2 linked regions of the Alligator mississippiensis genome follow. The protein of the gene in region 2 binds, or shares a complex with, the protein of the main gene of each other region. Links are inferred from orthologs where the notes say so. Each region holds a gene or a part of one and is shown on either strand. Other genes may lie near its edges.

Region 1 (7,754 bases), on a different chromosome or scaffold from region 2:
CTGGAATAGCTTGAAGCTGGAAGATCAAAAAAAGACACTAATCGCTGTGACAGACCCCAGGCAGAGAACTGGAAGCCACTCAGAGCATGAGTCCATGTGGCTACCAGAGCAGGTCATCCCGATGCAGCAGCAATTCCACCCACCCAACTGAGAAGGCCAGTGTGTGGGCCACTGCCTGGACCTATCTGACAACTATCTACCTAAATGATAACTATCAATGTCTCTTCTCTCATCCTCTTGCCAGAAGGGTTCTTAGTCTGAGGCAAGTGGGGGGCAGGGGACAGTTTTTAGCTGTAATTCAGCCCTTGTGAACCTAAGTACTTGGGGGATAGATTCCCATGACAGCATCTGGGCACCAGCTGTGACACAGGGCCCAGGGTCTAGTCTCAGAGGAACTGGCCCAGCCTTCTCTTTGACACAAAGCAAATAAGCAAAGTGGAGCTCTGCAGAGAGAGCCCTCTGCTGTGCCACGGTGAGTGTCAGGGAATGCATCCCATAGGAACCAGGGCTCCCTTGGTACTCTCAGCCCAGGTGGCATTGCCCATTGCATGCACAGGTCCTGCCTTGTACCCAAAAGGCGACTCGAGGGGTGTCCAGCCATGTGGGATTCCCAAGCCCCATGGATCCTGCAGGAAGGAGGGTGTCAGTTCCATTACCCATTGAGATGCGTTTTCACCAGATCCATCAGGCTCAGGGCAGGCACATCCAGCTCCAGCTCCTTCAAGACATGCAGGTACACACTGGTAAACAGTTCCTTGTCCGCATACAGCAGGGAGCAAATCGTTCCCATGGTCACAGGCCAGTTGTGCTGCCGGCAGGTCACACAGACGCAGCAACCCACCAGAACCTCCTTCTTCTCCAAGCTGACTAAGTGGAAAGAGGGGTGCTTGATTGCACGCTGGAAATAAGACACAGCTGTCTCTTCAAACACAGGTGGGAGCTGGAGGACTTTGCACAGATCCTGGACACGCTTGATCCCTGCAAAAGTGCGCACCCTGTCAGCATCTGCATGAAAAGGGTCTCTCTAGCTCCTTCAGCCCAGGCCAGATGTCAGCTAAAGGCCACCTGGCACTGCCAGGCCTAGAACCAGGGGAGCTTCTCAGCTGAGCGAGAAACAGAAGTGCAATTCACATGGCAGCTTCCCCCTGGCAGGAACATGACACCAAGTCCCACATGTCTCAAAACCAGGAACCAGTTCTCACCTCGCTGTTCACAGCGGCTCAGCTGCTCCTTCTGGCCCGTGCTCCATGAGTATGTCACCTCTGCAAGACAAGCATCAGGCAAAGCAGTCACATCAGTGAGTAGAAGACAAGGTCCAAAGTTAGTGCCAGACAAATAGGGATGGAAAGCGAAGCACTGGGGGGGCTATTCTCTTCACATCTCCGAAGGCGGCACCAGCAGCACCTATTCCCTTCACCAGCTCCCTGACAATACAACTCAGCCCTGAACTGATAGGATAGGGTGGAAAAGGAGTTGAGTCAACCTGACTCCTTCTCTTCTGCACCTCGCCAAAGAGATCCCAGCAAACAGTGCAATCCCAGACCTATTTATATGCTGGGAGTGATATAGTACAGTAAAGCAGATCACCAACTTATGCTGAATTTCACTGCTGCCAAATAGGCCTTCACATTTGAGACCCCATACTACAAATGCATTTGGGGTTGTATTTCCTTGGCCAGGGGGACAGCTGACAGCAGGAAAGCTACAGCTCTGATTCCATTCAGCCTGCACCCATCTATACAGTGGTAGCCTGCTCACAGTCCGACGTGTTATAGGCGCTGAATTAAAACTAGCAAACATGGGTTAGTCTAGAGGGAAAAAAGGAGAGCCCCTGAGACTTGACCACAGATACTTTAAAAGAACATGTCCAAACTGACTGAGCTTTCTAAAAAAAACCCAACAAAAAAAACATATATCAAAGTTGTGTGTACGGTAAAGCCATATGTAAGGACCCACAGGATGTTTTTCCCTATAGATTTTTACTAAAACCAGTTTGAGAAGCCAGTCACAACATGGGCATAGAGTCCTAGATGCTCGGGTCGGAAAGGACCTCAACAGATCACCGAGTCTGACCCCGTGCCCTGGGCAGGAAAGAGTGCTGGGGTCAGATGCCCCCAGCCAGATGCCTATCCAGCCTTGTCTTGAAGACCCCCAGGGCAGAGGAGAGCACCACCCCCCTTGGAAGCCCATTCCAGATTTTGGCCACCCTTACCATGAAGAAGTTTTTCCTGATGTCTAGCCTAAATCTGCTCTCTGTCAGTTTGTGACCATTGTTCCTTTTTACTGGGGAACAGAGCATCTCCGATCCCTTGCTGCGCCCCCCTAATGAATGTGTAGGTGGCCACAAGATCACCTCTCCGCCTTCTCTTGCGGAGGCTGAAGAGGTCCAGGTCCCTCAGTCTCTCCTCATAGGGCTCGGCCTGTAAGCCCCCTAGCCATATGAGCGGCCCCTCTCTAGACCCTCTCGAGTCTATCAACATCCTTCCTGAAGCACGGTGCCCAAAACTGGATGCAGTACTCCAACAGTGGTCTGACCAATGCCGCATAGATGGGAAGTATCGCCTCCTTGGATCTATCTGTCATGCATCTGCTGATGCACGATAAAGTGCGGTTAGCCTTGCTGATGATTTCGACATACTGACGACTCGTGTTCCTTTTGGACTCCACGATGACTCCGAGATCCCTGTCCGCTCTGTGCTGCTGAGAGGGTCACTGCCCAGCCCGTACAACACAACATCACAGCACCACGAACCAGGCCGTGACACCGACCAGTCCTGCCATTTTTTGAACTACAAACAAAACAGTTAGCTTTCCAGCAGTAGATATTTTTGGTTAAAGATTCCTCCAAGGTTTGGCTCAGAACAGAAGTTGGGAAGTTTCCATTTAGGTAAAACACAACAGTTTTCAGCTGATTTTTCTTGCACTGCTCCAGCTGAAGCTCTCGCTGTTACCTGCTCAAAAAAACCACCAACTCCCCACGGGCCACAGCCACGCGGGTATTTGCAAGTTGGCATTTGCTTGCTGATGGGCATACGGCTGCGGCGGCATCGCTGCGTGTTGGACAAAGCCCAGAGAAACAGCAGGCCCATGCAGCAGCGCGAGCCCGCGGGAAGTTGTGGGTGACAGGCAACTGTTTCTCACAAGACACCCGGAGAAGATTCCCTTCTTCCCCCTTCCTGCACAAGTCAGTCTTTCCCTCCCTGAGTGGCACGATGACGCCCTTCCCCTGCCTGATTTGCTGCTCCGCTTTCTGCTCCCCGCGCGCGCGCGCCCGCCCTACCTTGCAGCTGCTGCTCCTCAGCGAAGGTGGTGGTGAGCAGCCCCTCGGCGAGGACGCGGCCGCAGGCGGTGCACACCAGCTGGCTCTGCGCGTACAGCGCGTCCTGCACCAGGTCAGTGGAGCCGCAGCCCGGGCACGTCTGCCGGCCGGACATGCCGCCGCCGCCGCCGCCGCCGGCCGAGCGGAGCGGAGCGCACCGGATGCGGCGCGGGGGACCCCGCGCAGCGCTGCACCCGCCCGCCCACTTCCGGCCCCTCCCGGAAGTGGCTCCGGCCAGCAGCCGCGACCCCAGTTCCCGCGCGTTCCGCCCTCGCCTCTGGCCCCGGCCCCAAGCGCGTCCTGCTTGGTCTGCCTGGATCCCCCCCATCTTGGGAGATCCTGTGCGTACGCTGCTCCAGGGCAGTGCCAGGATCATAATACCCCAGCCAGATATCTATCCAGCCTCCTCTTGAAGATATAGGGTATGAGACACTATTAGGTAGCTGGCAGGTAAAATGCAGAAGAGATCAATGGAAGAGCATGCCCGTTCAAGAGAGCTGCTATCACTTGCACAGCACTGAGCGGGGGATATCGCCTAGGTCAGGGGTGCGGCCACCAGCCCATCCTAGCCCCTACAACAATTTAGAAAATTAATATTTATCTGCCCCCAGCTGCCTGTCATGCGGCCCTCAGTGGCTGGCCAAAACTCACTAAGCGGCCCTCCGTCCAAAATAATTGCCCACCCCTGACTTAGATAACAGTGAACCACAAAGTCAACATCTGTGTTAAGTCTGGCTCTCAAGTCTAGCGAGCTAATTATTATTCCCCCCACCCCAAAACCCAACTTCTGAAAGCAATGTATAAACTTCCCTTGAGCATCAGGACTTGAAGTTCAGAAAGGAAGTGGTTTTCTATTTTTAAAAAATGCACTAGTAGTGCAGTCCCTTCGTTTCTGACCGTTCATTCTTGGAAGTAGGTTGTGTCTAGTTTCACTCAGTTTCCAGAAGGGTCCCGCTGGTGTACCGGGTTAGTTTATACCACAGCCAGCTTGATCCATGTTTTGTTGGCAGTGCGAGGGGCAGTGGGTGGTGGGGTAGGACAGGGTGCTGCTATGTGGGGCAGTTGAGATTAGTTGCTTAGCTTTGCATTTTTCCTCAAGAGAGCATAGGGTCCCAGTACGTGCCTCCTAATCAGCAGGAATTTCATGGGTGAGGATGAGCTGGGTGTGATAAGGAACAGTCTGAAAGCTAGGAGGGAGGGTTGGGCTAGGCTTGGTTCTCTGATTGTCTAGTTATTTTTTTTAATATAGGCTGTACTTGCTTATTGATCATCATTTTAAATTCAGGATGATAGTTGAAAACCCAGTGTGTGTAGCCCATAGGGGTTTTCTTTGCGTCTTGTAGCAAGTCCTGATGTTAGCAAAAACCTTGTACCAAACGGGAGCTTCAGGCCCCAGTCTAACTTCATAAGATTGCCCCTGCAATGCTAATCAACATTTGTTTTCTCCACAAAGCAGCAGTCCTGAGGGGGAGTCTTTTGGAAATGAGAAGGACAGCTGATCCAGCCAGCAAGGTTTTCTCTTTTTGCAACACATGCTATATCTATTGGAAAGTGCCAGCAACTTTATCCTTTTCATTTTACTTCTGTTATATGAATTGAAAGAACTACATCCAGGAAAGCAGCCACCTTCAATTTTCTTTCTTTAATCTATCTCCAAAGCCGACAGGAGGAAATAACCACCCGAGTTATTTCCTTACCTCTCTCTACAATAGCTCATTAGAGCCATACACCAGAGTGAAGCGCTTGACAATGCCAGTCAATTTCTATTGAGCGCTGGCTTTAAAGCTCCCTGGAGAGTCATTGCTGATAGCCCTGAAGGGCAGGCAACCACTCAGACTGGATGCTGAAGGATGTTAATGATTACCTTGACCTCTCGTTTTAAACTAAACGTGAATGGAGCAGGGGCTGCCATAGCAGCATGCAGTTATTCCCAGTGGAGCCAGATTTCAGTCCAGTGGTCCCAAGACTACGCGCATGTGCAGGGCATTTAAACTGCACTGACTTTTAAGTTGCTACAACGGCTGGATGCCTTTGTTGTAATGGAAGCTTTTGGACGATAGAGATCCAACACATACCTGACAGCTATAGATGCTCGTTTCTCATTCTGCTGCACTGGTGGATCAAGTTTCTTTGCCTTACAGGCTGTTGTTCACCATGTAGTCACTGTGGCCAGACAACTCCCACTGCTTTAAGCCAAGTCCAAATAAATCGGGCAAGTCCCAGAAAGCAGGTTGGTTTGTAGTTCATACTTGCTTAACATTTTAAAAAACTTGTCCAGGTACTGTTGTTCAGTCTGCAGAGACAGACAGCCCCATATGCATGCAAGCAAGCCATCATTAAGTGTAACATGCTACATTTGGAGGAGGGAGAACTGTCCCATTGGCTTTCATGGCAAACACTGCGCAGCCAGCCGAAAGTGGGAGGAGGCCCCAGCGGTGCAGAATCAGACGGCAAAGCTGGAATGGACACACAGGGGAGACGATATGAAATCAGCACTACAAAGTTCAATACTGAGAAGTGCTAAGTGCACTAACTGCTACATTTAGCAAGGATACATCAGTACAAAACAGACCACAACTACCTCAGGCAGCGGTAAGCAAAAAAGCCCTTGTAGGGCAGTGTAATAGACAACTCCATTTTTAATCAATATGACACAAAAGTCCCAGCCTGAGGCAAGAAACATGCAGAGCATGTTCCACTCAACTCAGGCACCACTTCAGCTGGAGCACTCTGCTATTTTGACTACCAAATGTAGAAAGTACAGGTGAACTCGCGAGTCCAGGAGAAACATGCCCACGGATGACCTGAGGAACAGTTGAAGGCAACTGAAACAGTCATCTATGCTGCCAGGTTGTTCCTACTGCTGTGACTCCCATCCCATGAGGGAAGGGCAAGCAGCAGATAGCTGTGTTTGCAACAAAATTATATGTTAAGAAATACTTTCTAACTGCAAGGATAGCAAAGGAGTGAAACAGGCTGTCCACTGAGCCTCTGCAGTCTTGTTTGTTGGACTGACATTTTGGAAATCAGGACCAAACATCCTTTTTTCAATTTTTATTTTTGAATATTACAAGGGCAGGAGGAGGGGGGCTGTAAATCTATAGGTCTCCTGCCTTGCTACAGGAGCTGGACTAGATTATCTCCTGATCAGGCACAGGTGGTATCCTACTATTAAATCCAGAGCCACAGATGGGGCTCCATGGAGCCTAACCAGCTCCTTTCCCTAGGACATTTGTCCTTCAGTGCAGGCCAGTGTCATACACCTGCTTTACACCAGCCAATGCCATCTATTCCCAGCATTTGGCATCTCAGCTGCCAGACTGGTTTATTGCAATCTATTTTCAGAGTAAAACCAGGTTGAAAAATCTTCTCTTCTTGACAGCTTCAGGAACCGCACCAAATGGAACTTACCTTCCAGCAATGCAGATTCCAATCCCAAGGGCCCCTGCAGCCCTAAGGTACTTTTAAGTGATTTGTCCATGAAGCAGCAGTGCCCCCCTCACCCCCAACCTTATTTTAATTTATTAGGGTCCAATGAAAAGCAGAAGAGTGCTCAGCCATGGAATTTAAAACGCTTTTATTTTAGTGTTCCATGAAAAATGTCAATTAAAGAAGACCTCTATAATAGGTACACACACTAACAGAGCAAAACCTTAAAAAACATAAAAAAAATACATTCAGATCCTTCAGTAATTGACCTTCAGTGAAGCTCATCTATCAAGGCTCTGTACACTCACTTTGCCTTGAAATGCACCCTGCTTAACATAGAAGTACCAATCCCCTTTTGCCTGGACACTTCAAAAAGCTATTGCCACTGACAGATTTGAGGTACGTGAGAATTGTGCAACAGCTACACAGCTAAGAAAGCACAAGTGTGGCTTTTAAAGGACAACCGTTCCCAGAGGACCCTGAAACCTCAATGAGATGTACTACAACATCAAAGGAAACCAAGCTTCAGTGCACACACTTCATAGCACACACTTAATTCCTCTCAAAATTCAGTGATCCCACCTTCAGCACAATATTCTCGCCTCAAATGGATTAACATAAACCAAGTACCGGACTGTGAAATAACTTCAGGGTTTAAAATCTTCCCAGACTGGGGGGGAGGAGGGGACAGGGGGCAGAACACAACTTCTGGACAACTATTAATGTCCTCAAATAATTCTCTCTAAAGCAGCAGATGCAGCATTATACAAGGGCTCCAGCTGCTCCAGGAGGAATAGTACCCACATACCAGATCTCTTAAACGAGACTAACAGTCACTTCTGTTAGTTTCACTTAAACCCATTCTGAACACCAACATCAAACATGTATTATTATACACAACACCCATTTCAAAGTTACAGGTGGTTCCTCGACTTGTCCAAGGCACTGAAAAAAATACCTGTTATAAAGCTCCAGCTTCAAGTCCCAAGGATACATCTATTTTTTA
Region 2 (8,135 bases):
TCTCAGTCAACTTATGGCCGTTATTCCTTGTTACTCCCGGTAGTGCTCAGGGGGAACAGGGACTCTCCCATAGCCTGCTGGTCCCCCTTGGCCAGTTTGTAGAAAGCCACCAGATCCCCTCTCAGCCTTCTCTTGTGGAGGCTGAACAGGTTCAGGTCCCGTAGCCTCTGCTTGTAGGGCCTGTCTTGCTGCCCCCTGATCATGCGAGTGGCCCTCCTCTGGACCCTCTCAATGCTAGCCACATCCCTCCTGAAGTGCGGCGCCCAGAACTGGACACAGTACTCCAACTGCAGCCTGACCAGTGTCACATAGAGGGGGAGGATCACTTCCTTGGACCTGCCTGTGATGCATCTGTGGATGCATGAAAAGGTGCGGTTAGCCTTCCTGAGGGTCTCCCCACATTGGCGGCCCATGTTCATTTTGGAATCGATAATGACTCCAAGATCCTTTTCTGCCTCTGTGCTGATGAGAAGGGAGTTCCCCAGCCTGTAGGTCTGCTGCTGGTTCTTCCTCCCCAGGTGCAATATCTTGCACTTGTCAGTATTGAAACCCATCCTGTTCTCATCCGCCCACCCCTGTAACCTGTCTAGATCGAGTTGCAGCCTGTCCCTCTCCTCCAGCATGCCCACTTCTCCCCACATCTTAGTGTCATCCACAAATTTGAACAAGGTGCTTTCCACCCCCTTGTCCAAGTCGCTGATGAAGATATTGAACAGTGCAGGCCCCACCACTCTTCTTACCTGAATTTCCCACTCCCGGTGCAGGGAGGCACAAACAGTCCTAGGCCATAAGCCCCTGCTACGCAGGGACTTCCGGCAGGGTAGCAGGGCTGGATGGGCCCTGCTGTTGCAGGAGCCTGCCGTGGCTTCCCCCGGGTCCTGCTGCTCCTGTCTCCTGTCATTTTGATTCAAAAAGGGATTGGACAAATTCTTGGAGAAAAGGGGCATCGGTAGCTATTCAACATGGGAGTTAGGGATGCAGCCTCTGAATCAGAACTTCCTAGATCTTAAATGCTGGAAGCTCCAAGCAATAAAGAAACAGGGGAAAAACTAGGTGTACACTGATAGAGATTTTTGGGGGCGATACCAATGGCTGATTTTTAATGAGCCATATCAGCTGATACCAATCCAATTGCCAATATGCAGTCCGGCAGCTTGGAGAGCAGCATCTGGCTGGCGAGTCTGTTGTGGGGGAAGGGGCAAGGTGGGAGGAAAGAGGTAGCGGGGGCAGACCAAGGCCCCTGCGGTGAGGAAGGGAATGGGACTGGCTCTGGACCTGGGGTAGGGACAGGCATTGAACAGCCAGGGCAGGGTGTGGTGTAGGATGGATCCATGGCTCATCCAGGGGGTGCAGGCACCCCAGGAGGGTATGGGGTACATGTGCCCCCCAGATTTGCCTGCAGGGCAAGGGCAGGCTGCCGCTGTGGGCTGCAGCCAGGGGCAGTGCCAGGTCCTTCCTGGAGGTGCTGGGCCAGGCTGCACTCAGGTCAGGTGGCGGTAGCACTGGGAGTGGGGCTACAGAGAATTTTGGGGTGGCTGTAACCCCCGCCATAGCCTCCCCTCCCAGCGCCGCTGATGCCTACCCCAAGCACAGCCCCAGCCCAACCCCCCTGCCAGGAAGAGCCTGGCACTGCCCTCACCCCACACACGGATCCAGGAGGTGCACGGCCCCCATGCCCTTCTGGGTGCATACAATGGCAGGAGCTGCTTGGCAGGAGCCGCTCGTCCCCTGTCCCGTCCCCCCAACATCCCCTGGACAAGCCGCTCATGACTCCATCCCATGCCCCGCCCTGCTCCAGCTGTGCAGTGCCTGCCCTAGCACCAGCCCCACTCCCTCCCTCACCACAGAAGCCTTGGTCTACCTCCCCTATGCCCCTTCCCCCCGCAACAGACTTACCAGTCAGACACTGCTCTCCACGCTACCGGGCTGCACTCCTAGCCACCTGCATGCTGCGCTGTAGATGCACGCGCGCATACACAGCATTTACTGGCAAAATTATCAGCCACAACAGCCAAAAAAAGCCAACTGCTGATGATGTCAATTTTCCTTTTATCGGTGCCAATATGATATGGGACTGATGTATCAGTGCACCTCTAGAAAAAACCCTTAGTCATACCCAGTTCACTCTCCTTTTCAGTATCTGCTCTCTGCCACTGTGAGACACAAGAGACTGGGCAAAAGAGACCTAAGGGCTAACCCAGCACATGGCAATTCTTACGGTTTTATATTCCTATTCTGCTTCACAAATATCCAAACAGATTTGGCAAAAAGGCTAGGGATTTTCTCCCAAAGGTACCCTCCCCCATACATTTCCATGTCAAACAATAAAGCCATGCGCCATCACCAGTCTACTTCAGCAGCAGCCAGCCTCTTTGGCAAACATGCCACAAGTTAAATTCAAAATAGGAGATGATGCCACTCCAATAACCAGCCACCACTGTCACCACTGGCATGTGTTAGCCCTCCATTAGGCAGCACCTTTCCTCGCAGTTGCCACAGACCCAAACCTCTAAGCTAACACTGCCTGCCACCCAGCCTGTCACTGCTGGCACCTCCTTCAATTTGGTGCCCAGGGCTCACGTGCCAAACATACCAGCTGCCCCCGCCACTAGCCCACGCCGAGGTGGCGTGTACCTCAGAAGCAGTACAAGGGCTGGCAAGGATGGGGCAAGAAAGCAACTCCCTGTCTCCTTGGCAGGGCTGCCTTGCACCTGTTTTACCAGCGGCTTGGGCAGCACGGCCAAGAGCCCCAGTGACGCCCCAGGTACCGAGGCACCATGAATAAAAATAAACGTGGTTTTCCAGGGGGGGTTTCATCCAGGAGCCCCCAGACGCCAGGTCGAGGGCGGCTGCTCCCCGGACGACACCTTGAGCCCTGCCCGCAGGCAGGTACGTGCGACCGCCGCCCCGCCGCGCCCCGCCGGACTCACCCGCTCGCCGCCTGCGGCTCATCCTGGCCGGGCGGCCCCGGGGCTGCAGCGGGGCCAGGGCCGGGCTGCGACTCCTCCCCGCCCGGCGCGCAGGCGGGGCCCGGACTTCCAGGGGCAGCCGCGGGGCTCGGGCCGCCGCCGCCTCTGCCACCGGGTCTCACGTTGGGCCTCACGCTGAGCCGCGCGCGGCGGAACATGGCGCCAGCGGAGCGGGCGGGGAGCCGGGCGGCCCTGGCCCCGGCCCCGGCCCCGGCCCCGACGGTCACAGGCCCACGGGCAGCAACGCGCCTGCTCCCAGCGACCCCCGCGGCGGCCGGCGGGGCCGCCTCATGTCAAACGCCGAACACCGCGCCCAGTGCCCCGCCCTCCCTGCGAGGGGCCTGGCGCATCACGCATCATCAATGCGCGACTGCAACCGCCTGCCGGGGGATGACGTAAAAGGGAGGGGCGTTCTAGCGCCAGACCCCGTAGGGATTTGCTGCAGCTGGCGGTGAACTCTTGCGAGACTTTGTTCTTGTTCGTGGGCGAGACCTGTGGGCTACGTGTGGCTTGTGGGAGCGCTGAGGACAAGGCTCGGATCCGGCCCTGGCACGGGCAGGGCAGGGCGCTTCCTCCCGAAGGCCCGGTTTAGTGCAGTGACAATCCCCCTTGCTTGTGCAAAACACCCGGCAATGTCCCCCAGGTCGCCCTTAACCCCTGTTACCCCGTTCTGTGGCCTTTCACGAAGGAGGCCGGGCAAGGTCAGATTAATGTAGCTAATCATCAGGGATCCTGGTTTTCACTGTTCAACAGTCAGAAACTCTCTGATTTAAAACCCCTCTCGGAAATTCTCTGAATAAAAAACCCCAAATCCACGTTTATCCACAATTAAAATGAAACGCCACTATGTATACAGGTAACTGTACATGTACATTGAACACAATGTTTAATTGCTATGTTTACAATTTTAAAGCAAGTTGGAAGCCTACCAGTGCCTCAATCATTATAATAAAATAAATTCTAAATACCTATACATTTTAGCATTTGAGCTTGGGTTTTTATCATGGACAAAAATCAGCTCCCCCAGCCCCCTCTGCTCACCAGGACAAAGGTCCAGCTGCAGCTGTCCACCCATCTCCACTGCTTTGTAGCACTAAGCAGCCCTGATATGCTGGTGCCATGCCCGTTCCATTGCCCCATATGCCCAAGCCACAGCCCCACCAGTCTTGCTGGTGCCCCTCACTCTCAACTGACAGCCCCCTGGCCCTGCTGGTACCTCTCACTTCTGACCCACAACCCCCAGCCCTGCCAGTGCCTCTCCTGACTCACTGCCTTCCCACCCCCAGTGTGAGGAGGGAAGTGCGTGTATGGGGAAGGTGTGGGGCAGCCCACAGGCAACATGGCACACAGAGGTGTGGAGGCCAAGGCAACACAGCAGGATGGCACCCAAGATTTCTGCACCCACAGTGGGGCATAGGGATGCAGCAGGGCCAGACCAGCTCTGGCTAGAAGCTGCCCCAGTGGCCCAGTGGATGGGACCCAATGCAGGAGGAAGCCATGCCATGGTGATGTGTGTGTGCCAGCAGCAGCAGCATGGAGTTGTGCTCCCCGCTGCTGCCAGGCAAACCAGGGGCTGCTTGGCAGCCATGACAGCACTCCCTCCCACACTGGGCCACGGAGGTGGCTCCTGCCTGGAGCTGGTCGAGCCCCGTTGCAGTCCTGTGCCCCGCTGTGGCTACAGAAATCTCGCAGGCACATGCCCTCCTGCCTGTGCCTCCACCCCTCTCCTTGACTTACCTAGAGGGAGTTGCGGGAGCTGCTATCTACCACTGCCTGGCTGCCATGTGCATGTGTGCACACATGCACTGGAGCCCCCTGGGCCTGATCACTCTCCCACCCCATCCAAAGGGAACCTGCGTTTTCTTGCAATTTTCTCCTTTAAAGAGAAATCCACATTTTTCTGCAGCAAACAGAAAACCTGGGTCCCTGCTGGAGCCAAACTGAAGCCCCACCAGAGACAGCTAATCTCAAGGGCACAGTTAAGCTCAGAAAACATGAACAAGTATGTTTCAACATCTACACTCTACAGCTACAGTTAGCAACTAGTGTTTTGTTTTGGCTTCTCAAGATGGGTGTTACCTATTTTGTGGCTAAAGCTTGAGAAAGTGTTGCCAGCCTCCAACTCAGTTCAAAGCCTCAGAGATATTAGAGACCTGTGTTATTTACCAGGTAAGGTCAGGTTTGGATAAACCATTACAACTCAGACCTTGGAGGCATATTGTAAACATTAGAAATTATGCATGTTTTTGTAAAATCTTCACAGGTGTTTTGGCCCTGTATTTCTTGCCAAAATATTCCCTTTCTCATATTTCCCCACCCTACAGTGGTGTAACTTGCTTGTATATTGTGGGATGCTCTTTGAGGATGCTTTAGGAGTAAGATGGCTATTTATGCATAAATGGAATAAGTATATAAAGAATTATTTTTATCTGAACAGTTCTCTTTCTTTCATTAAGAACCTTCAACAATTCAAGGTCCGGATATTGTTGTTCCAATGTTGCAAGATGGACTCCTAGTTTAATGTATTGGGTTGCAAAATATATATTTTTATGATTAAATATAGCTTTTTAAAATGTTGATACACTGAATTCCTTGAGCGATAAAAAAGTATTTGCCTCTGAAAACCTAAATTCTGGGCAATGAGATTCCACTTTGCTTCAAAGTCTGGGTCAGCCAGTGTTACAGCGCCACTTTTCTATATTCCAAGAATAGGAAACGTTGGATATCTATTTTGGAGTTGCCATCTCTCACCGTTTGACTTTAAGTCTTGGGATACAGGCATGAACCCAGCACGGTACAAGTGCATCCTCCCCCCCAACCCCTTTGATTCCTGCTCCACCTGAAGTTTAATACTAATTCCCTGGCAGTGGCAGCAATAGCTCTAGGCCAGTAGTTCTCAACCTTTTTGTATCAGGACCCATTTGTAAACATTTTTTTTTTTTTATTAAGAAAATATAAAATATATATTTCTCTCTCCACACCGCCTCCTTTTGTCAATATCTCACAATAAACAATATCATACATGAATCAATAATACATGACACGATCGTGGGAACTTCCCATCTTCTTTCTCCACCACAATTTCTTCACAATTGGATCACCAGATCCTCTTTATACATAATCATCAATTCAATCCAAGACAATACATTTTGCTCTTTTCTCATACAAGTTCTTGGGACACTTTCAACATTTATAATACATCCTCATATTTTACACAATCTTTCCCTGTGGTCTCGTATTTTCCTTCTTTTTATTTGCCTTTAACACATTTTCCACACCTCTTTATTTATAGCATACACAATTCACTTTTGTTTCAGTAGTACTGTTTTCCCCACTTTCCGTTTTCACCTTTCCATTTCCCTGATTCCCGACGCATTTCCTTTCCCTACTTCCCAACGCTTCTTCTTTTCCTCCTCTCTCTCCCTTCTTCTTTTCTTTCCCTACCTTTACCCTATCCTGGCCGGCTGGAATAATTCCTGCCACCGAACGCCTTGCCATGCCCTACTCCCTTCGCCCTTTTCTCCCTTTCCCTTTATGTAGTCCTTAATCTCATAATACCCCAGCTGTAAGCATTCCCTTTGTGTAAAGCATACCCCCTTCCCTACCAACAAGCACCTCACTTTCCATAATGCCACCCTCATCCCCATCAAAATCACCCACGCTTCCCATTGCTTTTCTCCTTGTTTCACCAGTCCGTACACTGCGCTCTCATAGGACACCCCCTGTGCCCACCCTATCGCCCTTAGAAACTTCCCTACTCTTCCCCACACCCTTCTTGCAAACGCGCACTCCCAAAAAACGTGATGCACCGTTTCTTCCTTTGTACAGAACTCCTTCGGGCATTCTGCCGATCTCACCAGCCTCCATCGGTATAATATTTCTCTGACTGATAACACCCACCTAACTATACACCACGCAATTTCCCTGTGAAACCCTTTCCACCTTGCGTCTTCTATTCCCCTCCACACCTCTCTCACCTGTTCCCATGTCAAATTCCCCACGTCCGTTAACCCATCTTCCTCCCTAATTGCGTTGAAAATTACCCTCGCCTTTTGTAATCCTTCCATCCCGTTTCACCAAACCCTTTGCCTTGACGAATGCCACCAGCCTATCCACGTGCTGTGATGGTTTCCCTGCCCACGTGCCTGTCCACCTTTCTCCGAATACCCCCCATACCCTCAAAATTCTGCCTCCCCAGTACTTTACCCATTTCCCCACTATTCCTTCCCCTCTCCGTGCCTCCCTGACTAATGCCGCTACCCCGTGCCCATATATGAATGTTTCCACCTCTGGAAAACCCCATCCCTCTAGCTCCCCCGCTTTATAAAGCTCCCTACCTGCTACCCTCTCTCCCTTACTTCCCCAGAAAAACACACACAATTCCCTTTGTATCCTCCTCGCTTGCCTCCACGATGGAGGGTATACCCACCCTACGAACAGCAGGATCGGTGAGATCACCGACTTGATTAGCTTTACCTTCCCCATCTTTGACAAACCTCTCCATCCCCGTATTCCCAGCACCTTTCTAACCCGTCCCCGCACTTCTCCCCATGCTGTTTCCCCTTTCCCATCTTTCTCAAAACATCCCTAATATTTTTTGTCCTCTCTCTACCACCTGCAACCCATATTCCTCCAGACCCTCCCAGTTCCCTATTCCCCATATCTTACTCTTCCCTCTATTTAATCTTGCTCCGGCTGCCCTTCCGTACTCTTCCATATGCTCCAGCACCCTCCTCACTGACCTTCTGTCCCTCACCAAAAATGCCACGTCATCCATATATAGCACCGCTTTCACTTCTCCTCCCCTGGTATCTTTATCCCCTGAATTTGGTTGTCCCATTTTATCTTCCTTCCTTCCTATGCCACACACAAAAAGCCCTTTTGTAAACATTGATGGCCAGTCCCAACCCAGCACCCTTCACACTCAGCCTACTGCCCCCCACCCCAAGGCCGCAGCCCCACTGTAGGGGGTGGGTGTGTGGGACAGGGTGAAGTATGAGTGGGGCCTGGGGGACCCCAAGCACCCCCTTGCAGACTGGAACTCTGCAAGGGAAAAGCCAGTTGCCCACATGTTTCTCCTTTAAGGGAGAATCTATTTTTAAAGTTTGTTTGCAACCTTTTCATTTATTCTTAGACCCACTCTCAGGTCATGACCCACAGGTTGAG

Evidence for each region. Proteins that work in one complex are often made in the same cells at the same time.
Region 1: BDP1 (region 2) and BRF2 share a complex: the UniProt entries of both Homo sapiens proteins name them as parts of the TFIIIB complex. The link is inferred for Alligator mississippiensis from reciprocal best matches to the Homo sapiens genes BDP1 and BRF2.

Annotation. Positions count from the first base shown.
Region 1 is NC_081830.1:18,638,925-18,646,678, reverse strand, and holds the start of BRF2 (transcription factor IIIB 50 kDa subunit), read right to left. Parts: upstream 3,504-7,754; 5' UTR 3,435-3,503; coding exon 3,281-3,434; intron 1,263-3,280; coding exon 1,203-1,262; intron 979-1,202; coding exon 657-978; intron 17-656; coding exon 1-16. UniProt on the Homo sapiens protein: General activator of RNA polymerase III transcription. Factor exclusively required for RNA polymerase III transcription of genes with promoter elements upstream of the initiation sites.
Region 2 is NC_081826.1:251,357,682-251,365,816, reverse strand, and holds the start of BDP1 (transcription factor TFIIIB component B'' homolog), read right to left. Parts: upstream 3,306-8,135; 5' UTR 3,128-3,305; coding exon 2,931-3,127; intron 1-2,930. UniProt on the Homo sapiens protein: General activator of RNA polymerase III transcription. Requires for transcription from all three types of polymerase III promoters. Requires for transcription of genes with internal promoter elements and with promoter elements upstream of the initiation site.